Tribolium castaneum: one gene and its partners. The protein of the gene in region 2 interacts with the protein of the main gene of each other region in a pairwise test. Links are inferred from orthologs where the notes say so. Each region holds a gene or a part of one and is shown on either strand. Other genes may lie near its edges.

The links.
Region 1: the proteins of Eps-15 (region 2) and Graf interact in a two-hybrid assay, tested with the Caenorhabditis elegans proteins (2 studies listed by BioGRID). The link is inferred for Tribolium castaneum from reciprocal best matches to the Caenorhabditis elegans genes ehs-1 and T04C9.1.
Region 3: the proteins of Eps-15 (region 2) and Src64B interact in a two-hybrid assay, tested with the Caenorhabditis elegans proteins (2 studies listed by BioGRID, with this or other methods). The link is inferred for Tribolium castaneum from reciprocal best matches to the Caenorhabditis elegans genes ehs-1 and src-1.

Annotation. Positions count from the first base shown.
Region 1 is NC_087402.1:9,655,739-9,659,393, reverse strand, and holds part of Graf (rho GTPase-activating protein 26), read left to right. Parts: intron 1-934; exon of another isoform or gene 935-1,088; intron 1,089-1,181; coding exon 1,182-1,524; intron 1,525-1,570; coding exon 1,571-1,893; intron 1,894-1,941; coding exon 1,942-2,272; intron 2,273-2,322; coding exon 2,323-2,428; intron 2,429-2,476; coding exon 2,477-2,840; intron 2,841-2,894; coding exon 2,895-3,147; intron 3,148-3,655.
Region 2 is NC_087396.1:20,523,276-20,527,611, forward strand, and holds the start of Eps-15 (epidermal growth factor receptor substrate 15-like 1), read left to right. Parts: upstream 1-1,512; 5' UTR 1,513-1,596; coding exon 1,597-1,623; intron 1,624-2,120; coding exon 2,121-2,165; intron 2,166-3,730; coding exon 3,731-4,138; intron 4,139-4,187; coding exon 4,188-4,298; intron 4,299-4,336. Other genes in the region: uncharacterized protein LOC103314840, read left to right, coding at 540-674, 718-872, 919-1,462.
Region 3 is NC_087394.1:24,284,869-24,288,523, reverse strand, and holds part of Src64B (tyrosine-protein kinase Src64B), read left to right. Parts: intron 1-2,358; coding exon 2,359-2,665; intron 2,666-2,724; coding exon 2,725-2,978; intron 2,979-3,655. UniProt on the Caenorhabditis elegans protein: Non-receptor tyrosine-protein kinase which plays a role in endoderm development by controlling spindle orientation in EMS blastomere, probably downstream of receptor mes-1.

The DNA of each region.
Region 1 (3,655 bases), on a different chromosome or scaffold from region 2:
GATTCCTATTTAAAAAAAACAACTTTGTTATTACAGCTAAACGAATGAATAAAAATAACCACTGATAACATTATTAAATTCTCTGTAAATAAGTGCCTGTATAATGTCTTTGTTTCAAATGTGTTTTTTATTATAAGGATGATGTGATGTTTTTAAGATTTTGCTTAAATGTCAACTTTTGTTTATAAGTCGAAAACAAAAAACGATAGCAGGATGCGGTTTTGACCAAAATTATTTTTTTTAAAAACGGACCAATGTGTCAATTGTTTTTCTCTAAACCTCTTAGTTTCGGAGATCCCCTATTAAGGACATCCAAAATGCAGCACCCTGTACAGTAAATTGTTCTAGCGAGTTGTTCAATATTGACCTTTAAATAGCTGGAAATTAATTGTTTCTTTGCTAAAGCGGTTACTTTTGTTGTTACAAACTTCATTGGCGCAGTCAGTAGTTTCCTACTGATGAACTATTGTGTGCTATCTCCTTTTTTATGGACCTTTGTTAACGAAAGGGAAAATAATATTACACTAGATTTAAAGTAAAAAAAAATGTAAATCTAACAAAAGGCTAATAGTTCTTAGCTCTCCGTCATTCAAACAGATACTCGTACATGTCCTGGTTGTGTTAAATTTTTTTCAGAAATTAAGTTTGGCCTCGTATATTGATCGGCGATTAATATTTTTGGCAGTTGGGGCTCCCGTGCCTCATTTCCCACATCGTTAAATTTTGCATTGCCCTTCGATCATGAGTCATCAGCGATCCTTCGCTCCTTTATCTTAATCCTGTCATATCCGTCCATGAATCAATCGGCGATCTCATTCAGAGATTCCGCGGGGGTTGTATCGTAAACGATGACGTAATTTGCGTGGGTGCGTATCGATTAAATGACGTCATATCAGCGTGCGTTTGCGCCTTCACCCACTAAGGCCTCAATGCAAGCCAGTTCCAAATTGACATTTTCCATCAAACCACGTTTTGCGAATTTCCCTAGTGCCATATCACTTTTTCACCATTCAGTGAAATGTGGTTTTTCCATTCGGCCGTCTCGTGAAACCGTCAGGATGTCCTAAATAAATTAGCATCGACAATGCGTAGGTGTCGAAAATTTTCGCGACTGACACGAGCTGAAAGGGATCTTCGTGTTTTATTCAATTACAAAGGGACGATCGATATTTTGTTTGCAGGCCGACGCTTCTGTAGACATGGCAGAACGCCACTTCTTCACGGCCAGCATGGAATACGTCTATCTGATCCAAGAAGTGCATGAGCGGAAAAAATTCGAGTTCGTAGAGACACTTTTAACGTTTCTGTTCGGATGGCTCACCTTCTACCACCAGGGGCATGAAGTAGCCAAAGACTTTCGGCCCTACACAGTCGACTTGCAACACAAAATACAAAAAACACGCGCCAATTTTGATGACTACAGCAATAAATTGCGGAAACGAATGGCCGACGTTCAACACTCCGAAAAACCGGTCAAAAAGAATAAGGGTTGCAGGGAGGGCTACCTCTTTCTTTTGGAGAAAAGTAGGTTTTAATGCGTGAAAACGCCAATAACCGCTTGGTTTTGCAGAAGCTTTTGGTACCACATGGACCAAACATTTTTGCACATATGACAAAGAAACTAAAGAGTTTACGATGTTACCGTACAATCAGCTAACAACCAAAACGGTAAGTTACCAGGGTTGCGTTTCATTCCTGATTTTTCGTTTGAAGATTTCGCCACCTGAAGCCATGGTCTTGACGTCGTGTGTTAGGCGAATGTCTGATTCCATCGATAAGAGATTTTGTTTCGATATTCAGTTTGATTCAAAACCTGGGGTTGTGTTAACCTTCCAGGCGCTTTCGGAGCAAGACCGGAAGGCCTGGTTGGATATTATGGATGGCAAAGAACCGGTATTTCATCAAACACAGTTTGATCAAAATTTGACACAATTATTCCAGACTTACACAACTCCAGGTGTTAACAAAGCACAAAATTCGGAAGAGCGACTCCTCGACGATTTAGGCATCCAGTTTGTGAAAAAATGTATCGAAGTGCTGGAAAGTCGCGGTTTGGAGGAGCAAGGCATCTATCGGGTCGTTGGAGTCACTTCGAAAGTGAACAAATTGCTAAACATGGGCTTGGATCGCAGGAAATGTGATAAATTATCTCTGGAAGATCCCCAAGAGTGGGAAACCAAAACCATAACGAGCGCTTTGAAAAGTTACTTACGGAACCTCCCGGAACCACTCATGACTTACAAATACCATAACGGGTTCATAGCGGCAGTCAGTAAGTTATCGTTTTTGTTGTTGTTCCAACACGTTACAATTTTTTACCAGAAAATGAGACCCGCCAAATGAGGATACACGACGTGCACACGCTAATCCACCGGTTACCAAAAACCAACTTCGAAGTGATCAAAATCCTAATCAAGCATTTAACGAAGTAATTTAAACCACTAAGCGCTTGGCAAACAACTAATAATTTTTGCAGTGTTTCCGCCAAATCTGACAAGAATTTGATGACTGTGAGCAACTTGGGTGTTTGTTTCGGGCCGACTTTGCTCCGGCCCGAGGAAGAAACGGTTGCTTCGATCATGGATTTGAAATTTTATAACATCGTTGTGGAGATTTTGATTGAAAATTATGAGAAAATCTTCAATAGTGAGCCTGATAAAACATTACCCAGCGAAAACACTTCGCCGCGAAACGCTGCACCGCCAAGCAACAACTACAAACATATTTCGGAGCATCCGAATTTCGGTGCTGGCGATGGAACTGAAGTTGTTTACGCTCGAACGTACAACTCGAATCATTCCAATCACGTTTCGCCCAATTACCGGCCGCAAATGACTTGTGTAAGTGATTATTGTTCTTGGTTTGGTTTAATTTGATTGTCGTTTTGTTTTTAGACTGTGAAGGCGTATTACGAGGAACCTCTCACTGCGAATATGTGTTCAAGTTTGTACAGTGTTCACGAAGGGACGAATGGTGGCTACCACCCACAAATGAGTCGAAGTGAACACATTGGACCTAATTGCCAACCCATTTTACACCAAAAATCAATGCAACGGTTCATACCAACAGTGTCTTCTCAGTCTGAAAGTAATATTCCAAATTTACCTAGTCACAGTCCTACGTACTTCAGACCTTTCAACCGCATTAGTAAGCAATCGCTTTTTTAAAGGTCGAAAGTCGGGATAAAAATTTGCACGTTTTTAGCCCGATTTTGCTTAGTGGCTTGTTACTAACTCGACACATAATGTTGCGTTTTTTAAACGGAAATCACCAATTAATTATATCGTTTGTTCTGCATTTTTGTCACTAAGTGCCTCACAGTAGCCCAAGGTCTCAAATTAAGTTTGCAACACTGAATAAGCACAGATAGGAGATTGACAATTTTACATAATTCACATCTTTTGTGTCGCCACCTCAAAGAAACTGTAAAATAAGCTCACCGCAGAAATTTAAAACATAAAATCTTGCGGTATATTAAGGAATGTTTCATAATTTTTTTGTCTTTCTCAACCGTATAACCACTTTTAGAATTAATTAGGTCAAAAGTGATATCATTTTTTAGTTTTTTGATGAGTTTATTTCGTAAAATTTTGCTACAATCGAGCTAAAACATTGCAAAATTAGTAACTAGCCGTCTAATTAAACCACCAAGGCG
Region 2 (4,336 bases):
GTTAATAATTTGACCTAAACAACTTAAACAGTCATTTTTGATCACATGGCACTTTAATAAAAATTAGTAGCAAATAAATTAAAAGCTTTAGGTTTGTGTACTGCTAATAATCTAGTCGAAAAAGGCATTCAAGGATAAAGTACTTGTTTATCTGCTCGTTTTTTTTAGGTAATACTGTTCTTCTTGTTTTTTTGATAGTATTATTTTGATGTTGAGAATGTTTTGGATAAAAAATCCTTAAAGCTGTCGAATTATTTATTTATATTTTTTGACAATAAAAGTGTGTTTCTTATTTACGTGCTTTATTTACCAAACACATCATTTATTTTAAACGTGGCCTTAATAGTGGATTAGTAAATTTTAATCATAATAAGAACTGCCAACCTGACAATAACAGACTTTTTCAAGGTGGCCAACTAATTAACAAAATAATTTTTTGTGAACTAGTTTTTCAAACCAAATTAAAGTAGGCTTGAATTCGAGCTTCAATTATCTCTGACAAGTGACATTTAATTATTGTTAAAAATAGTTTTGAGAAAATGGAAGATACAAAGTCCCTCTTAATGATGGTTTTACACAAAATTTTCCAAAACCAACCCAAAACTATAGAAAACACTTTTCAACTGATTCACAGTTACAATAACGGAAAAACAGATAAGAAAAACTACGAGAAGGTAACCACTTTTTAATCGAAAAAAAATTATTCCCAATTTTTAGACTTTAAAATCAATCTGCGACTTGATGAATGACGAACTACCGTCCCCAATTCTAGTCTACATCTTGACTTTAGTGGACATGCCCCAAGACTTCGACTCCTCGTCCCCCATTATCGAAAAAATGAAAAAAACGCACGACTTTTTACCCGACATCAAGTAAAAAAAAACAATTAATAAACACGCATTTGAATGACGCTTTTAGCGTGCGGCCCCATTTACTTGAATACTTGAACAACATAAAACCCTCAACCAAAAACCGGGACAAACCCGAAACTCCCGAAAAAAGTCGCCCCAATCCTGAAACTGAAAAACCCCTAACCAGTAAAGCCCAGTCAAGTTTCATCAGACCGACGAAAGTTTTGAGACGTGGTCGAAAATTAGTCCCAAAAATCACGGGGAAGCCCAAAAGCCTCCTCGACATTTGTGCCACCTATGTGGTCCAGAACGAGCTGTCTCTGAAGGGGATGTACCGGAAAAAACAATCAAACGCCTGGCGCTTGATCAACGCCAACGTGTTTCTGGGCCCCAGACTCAAGCAGTGCTACAACGTCGTCAAGGATTTGAACAAGAAAATGCGCTGGTTGCGTGAAATCGAGTCCGATAATATCTCCACCGAAATTCTCATGGAAGAGTATAAGAATAGTGACGTTTTTTTGAGGGAGCACCACATTTATGAGGCCCTGCAGAACGATCCGTTTGAATTATCGGGGGAGTGCGAGGCTGCGATTGAATCTTTGCTTGATTAGAGTTAGTCCGAGTTTAAATTTCGTGCCGTTCGGTTAATGTTGGCAGCATTTTTCATCTTGTTATTGATTGTAGTTGTGATTGGTCGAATAAAAACGTATTTACCAATAGGAAAACACTTGGGGCATTCGAAAAGATGGCTGCGTTGCCGTCACCGACACAGGTACTATTCGGTGATTTTGCCTTGATTTTGCGAAAATTCGAGTTTGGAAAAAGCCACAGTGTGTGTTATCAGTGCCTGATAGTGCCGTTGCTTTTTTGTAATTCTGAGTGTGCTAGATTTTACGCGAAAACCATTTCCCTTATCACGTCTCGACTGTGACAGTGGGCGGTGTTAAAGCATAATATTTTTATCAATAATTCATAATTATCATAAAAACGATTAGGAATCAGAAGGAATTGCCCTTTCCTGTGAAAAAATACACGATGATTGTACAATTCAACTGTTGAATGTCACACATTTTGGCACACCCCGAGTTTTCGTCAAAATTTGACAAATGTCAGTTTGTAATCAAAACTGCGAAAAGATCAATTAAAACACATTAATTCGTACGTGTAACTGTTCTCGGACAGCTCGTAGAGCACCAAGGCATGAAACTATGAAATTCGGCGAATGTTTGGCTCGATTTTAATATTATGCACGTTCATGGTGTGTTTCAGGTGGCTGGAAACCACAGTGCCATATATGAGGCTTATTACAATGTGGTAAGTGCACATTCTGATTCCAATTAAACGGAAATTACAGCCAAAATTTTGGTGACTTACCATTTTTTTGTTTTTGGCCCCAGAATTTTGACTAATTTTTCGAAAGCATTATTAATAGATAAACACAAAAAGTGCTATTGAAACAGGCTGCATCTATTATTTATTCACAAATGTTTTCAGATAAGGGGTGGTTGTGATTTGTTTTTTCTTCAAGTTGGTCAAGCTGTTCCTGACCATTTCCTAGAACTAATTCTTGACCAAAATTTTATTAAATAAGTGTAAAAGACCAAGCAAAAGGGCTAAACATTTACATTAAAGCAAGAAATCGTTACCAAGTTTGTGCTTCATACAAAGATCAAGAGTGTATGAAGAGGCACATTTTGTTAGAGATAGTGTTTAATTGTGATAGCAATAAATATTCGCTTAATTTTTTTCTGTTTTAAAAAAGTATTGTTTGTATTATAGTCTTCAGTGTTAAACAACTTTGCTAAATTTGTTTGCAAAAAATAATTATGTTTTACAAGACCATTGTGCTTTTGGACTTAATTTTTACTACACAATGTTGTCTCTGACTGAAGATTTTTTTGCATATCCTTTAGTTTTTTCAGTTTATTTTTGTACAGCTTATTATTTAGCTCTTGCTATTTTTTTTCACAATTTACTGCATTTGAAACGTTTTCTAAAACAAAATTTTTAGTACCTACTATTAATTCCTTTCGTAGAACAAAACCGAAATAAAATGAGAGTTAAACTACGGTTTTTATCGGCAGATTCTGAGGATTTAAGGCACTTTCCAAATTAATCAGAGTGCAGAGATTATTCGAAAACGTGTAATTGTTTTAGAATTCTAATTTCCATTTGAAATAGAGTAACTTTATTCTTCTCCACTTTGGAACACACGTTTGAACAAACTCTTTTCATTATAGGCTTAATTCCTTTTGAGAGACATACGATTGTGTATAATACGTATTTTTTTTTTATCTGAAGCTACATGTTTCGGCCATTGATTTATGTGGCCATCTTCAGGCATAAGTCGCACTATTATAATAAAAAATAAAAAAATTGGTAGAGAAGGATCTTAGTTTGTACTTTTACTTATTACTTGTTATCTTAACATGTTATGATGTAAAGTCTGAAACAATAATATTGCGCTTATTGTTTGAAAAAAGATAACAAAATTTGCACCACAGTTCTTCCATGATACTTTGAAAAAAAAATACAAAAATTGTTTAAACTTACTCATGATTCTTGTTATAAACTGATATTTTCTAAATGAATTGCATTATTTTTATGCAAGCTGATATCAATGCCTACAATATATCAGATTTCTATGCAGATGGCTTATCTGAAAACGTCGTGAAATACGAACATTTCGAAAATAAATAAATTTGATTTTTTTTATTTTTTATTATTAAAATTTAATTTACTGAAGTGGCCACGGATGAGTTCGCAAATGGTGCCAGTGTTGCTGTTTAATTAACAACAGATTTTACGTAACAGGGCATCAAGGCCAAATCGATAATTCCTCTTGAATAAGTGTGAGTACAATTGGGTGTTTGTTCCAGGTGGACCCCAACGGGTTCGGTACGGTGGGTGGCATGGAGGCCGCGCGATTCCTCAAACGATCCGGGCTAAGCGACGTAATCCTGTCGAAAATTTGGGATTTGTCCGATCCCGGTGGACGCGGCTGTCTGGACAAGTCGGGCATGTTTGTAGCTTTAAAATTAGTCGCTCTTGTACAAAACGGTAGAGATTTATCCTTATCGAACGTAAATGTGGACGTGCCTCCGCCAAAAATGGGAGACATTCCTTTACCCAAACCTGTAAAACCTCCACCTCCTAGCAATTCTCCTTTAATTACCTCTTTACCTCCAACCGCAGTCGACTGGACCGTCAAGCCAGCGGAAAGAGAGAAATACGATAAATTATTCGACTCTTTACAACCAACTAACGGACTAATCCCCGGCAATAAAGTAATACCTTGTTTATTTGTACGGAAATTTTGTAATTGTGTTATTCAAGGTGAAGAACGTTTTATTAGAGTCAAAGTTACCGTTCGAGACTTTGGGCAAAATCTGGGATTTGGCGGATCAAGATAAGGACGGAATGTTGGACAGACACGAGTTCATTGCAGTAAGCAAATACCTTTTTATTTATTTATTTTTTTAAGC
Region 3 (3,655 bases), on a different chromosome or scaffold from region 2:
AACGCAAAATCAAAAACCTAACGAAACGCAAATCACAAAACACAATAAACGAACAGAAAATACTTGCGATTAACACCGATAACACTTTCGACGACGTCTATAATTTACTGTCAATGTCAGTTTGACAAATTCGTGACACTTGACGGTGTTGTCGAAGTGCACATGTAAATTAATGTTAAAGGATACCACCCTTAGATAGCCCTTAGCTGTTTAAATTTGCATTGTTTTTGATAATTTTTTATAGCTTTGTGTTGGTAATGAAAAAATGAAATTGATGACGCACACGCAAATCGAGCTGACCGCCACTATATTTCTTTCCTTTTTTTGTTACTTACTTATGTCAGAGGTTTATGACGAAAAGGTTATAATTTTTGTCAAATGCATAAAATGACATAATTTTACGTCAAATTTAACCAGGGACGTAGGAAACGTAGAAATTTTGGGATTACTATTTAAAAAAAGAAAATAATTGAATACCTCTTAATATTAATGTTCACATTTCTGAAATTTTTCAATATTTATTTTAATATTAAATACATAACTTAAAACATACTTCAATGCTAAAAATGCTTTTCTTTCAGTCACAATTTTTAGTTAGACGTCCCAAAAATTGGTCATCAAGAACCCTTCATATTTCCTGTCGTCTTTTTAAATTTTCTAAAAAATGATATTGAAGGTGTTCTCGTATGAAAAACGTAACAAGATCGTGAATTCCCAATAACTTTATAATTTGAAACAAAATCTAAAGTTCACGTAGATGCTAAAGGCGGCCAAGCAGTGACAGGTTCAACTTTCCTAAAAATTAGAACCAATTTTGGGTTCAAGTACCTACGTATTTTGTAAATGCATAGACAAATTCCCAAAATCTCATAGATTTTGTACATAATATTATTTAGTCAATCCACTTTTCCAAATGCTTGTTAATAATAAACGTAAAACTTGGCAGGAAAGGTTCAATTTCTCTCTCTTTCATCGATGATTACCATTTCTTAAAGTTAAGGAAAAAATGTTTATGATGAAGAGTTTAGACGTAAAATTCTTATATTTACAAAGAAATCTCTTTTAAAATTTGGAGTTTATATAAAAAAAACAGTGAATTGACGACGACTGCCAATCTAAACCATTTCTAAACGCAGTTAGTCGACGAAAAATGGAAACGTTTTTTGACAAATTTATTTGACTTTTCGCCAAATTTCAAGTGTAACACCACTCATTTCTATCCCAATTTGTTTTTTACACATTCCAACCGACGTATATGAACCAAAATTTCGAAAATTGACATTCAGTGTCCCAACTCTCCCAATATTTCCTATATAATATATAATATAATATTCGGAAGTAAAGTTACCGTTGAGGGCGCCACTGAGCTAGGTCGAAAACAGTAACCATAAATGGCGGGAAAATGTTTATTCGGATATTTTGAGCGTTGTACGAATTTTGAGGCTTCACAATTATTACATTGCCTATGCGGAATGATTATTGTATCTTTGGTGGAAGAAACGAATGTTGACAAATTGGAGATGTCGAGGAAAACACGAATAATGAATGACTTTTTGGTTTACTTTCTTTATTGGAAAATTATTACAAAGACATTGAGAAGCCTACCTTTTGGCATAATTTACGTTTAAGTGTATTAGCAGTTGTTAATCTTAATTGTAGTTTTGTTGATTTATCGAAGTATTTCATGATTTTATCAGTGGAAAAATTCTAACCTAAAATTCACTAATTTATTGGTTTCTTGAGCCCAACTTTGTGTTCGCTGTGATCCATTACTATAGTCTTTAATTAGACAATTGTTTGATAACACTTTGTAATGAAAATTTAAATCTTTTTCACTTTTTATTCATTTTCAAATTCCAACAATAAACACTTTACACCACGAAAAACCGCAGAACCAAAGTCAAAGCTAGTATTTACCACCACGTACTTTTAAAGTGATTCTCTCCAATGTAAGCAATTAACACTATACACGCAAAATTGTTAAACAATTTACTAGACGTCAATTAAATGTGGAATTACGAAAATTTCGTTACTGTTTTCGACATAGTTCAAAAGTCATCACCAGAGGGCGTCTAGTTAATTTTATTTTCGAATAATATAATATAAAAAAACCAACCCATAATTATTTATAATTTCTTTGTAAATTTATTGCCACAAAAACTGTCCATCCAAGAGCACTCACTGCACTCGTGCTGCAAACAAGTTATTCAAGTTGGAAATTATATTTTCCCTCGTATTTTCCAAACATGTTGGGTAAATCATTATTGTCTAACGGTGTCAGATCGGGTGACCTTGGCGGCCCCAAAATGTTACTAGTCACGAAAACTCCTACATAAAATAATGAAAAAAAAATTCCAGGTGGTCCACCTCGACTGACAATCAACAATCCCTACACACCGGACCCTCAGCGGAGTCATGTCGATATAATAAGGAGTCGGCCGACCCCCACACGGCCCCCTCTTTCCGTAAAGGGCCGCGTGGTCGTGGCCCTTTACAACTACGAGGCCCGCGACAGCAGCGATGTCTCGTTTAAGAAAGGCGATCGCATGGAAGTCATCGATGACTCCGAAGGCGATTGGCTAAATGTGATACATCTCATAACCAAAGTCCAGGGCTACATCCCTGGAAATTTTGTAGCGGCCGAATTGAGCGTCGAAAGCGAAGAGTTAGTATCGGTTTTTCCTCTTATCACAACGGGAAATTGTCACATCCTTTGTCTTTTAGCTGGTTTTTTGAAAACGTATCGCGAAAGGAAGCCGAGAAGCTTCTCCTCGCCGAGGAAAATCCAAGAGGAACTTTCCTAGTCCGTCCTTCCGAGCATAATCCCAACGGGTATTCGCTCTCAGTCAAAGACTGGGAGGAGATCAGGGAATACCACGTCAAACACTACAAAATCAAGCCGCTTGATAACGGCGGATTCTACATTTCCACCAACAAAACATTCCTCACTTTAGTCGAATTAGTCAATGCTTACACCAGTAAGTTGAAACTAGAGTAGGGAACGAAACGAGGTACAAAATCGCACCCCAAAAAATATAATACGGAGAGTAGTATTTTTACTCCCGGTACCAGATCGTTTTAAATTAATTCAAATTCAATTCAATTCACTAATTACTTGGAAAAAATACAGAAATGTTGTGCTTTGCATTCTTAATAGACTGAGAAAAAGTGACGACCAAAATTTTCACGAGAAATGTGGGAAAAAAGTTGTTTTAAATTTAAAATTTGCGCTTCGTCTCAGATTTTTCAAAACGCTGCGAATACGGTTTAACTGTCAACTGGTTTTGTTTTTCCGTAGTTAAGTCAAATTGTCAAATCGCTGTAGGTGTCTAGACCTGATAAATTCAACCCCCTCCAGGTATTCTCTAGGCGCGATGTATTCTTCCAGATACAGTGTAAGTATTTGGGTTGCGTCAGTATTTAACTTCTGAGTCAAATTTGACCTAGCAATACCAGTTACTTTGGCGTATTTTTTGATTTCGTTTTGTGAAAATGTCCCGCTTTTTAAGTTAGCTAAGTTGGCAGACGTTTTCAATTATTTATGTAATGATAGTGGTAATAAAACTGATCACTGATCAGTAAATAATGATGTTCAAGATAAGTGACAATGATCTGAGATCATTGAAGACAGACCGGCAAGAAATGATAAGTCTCC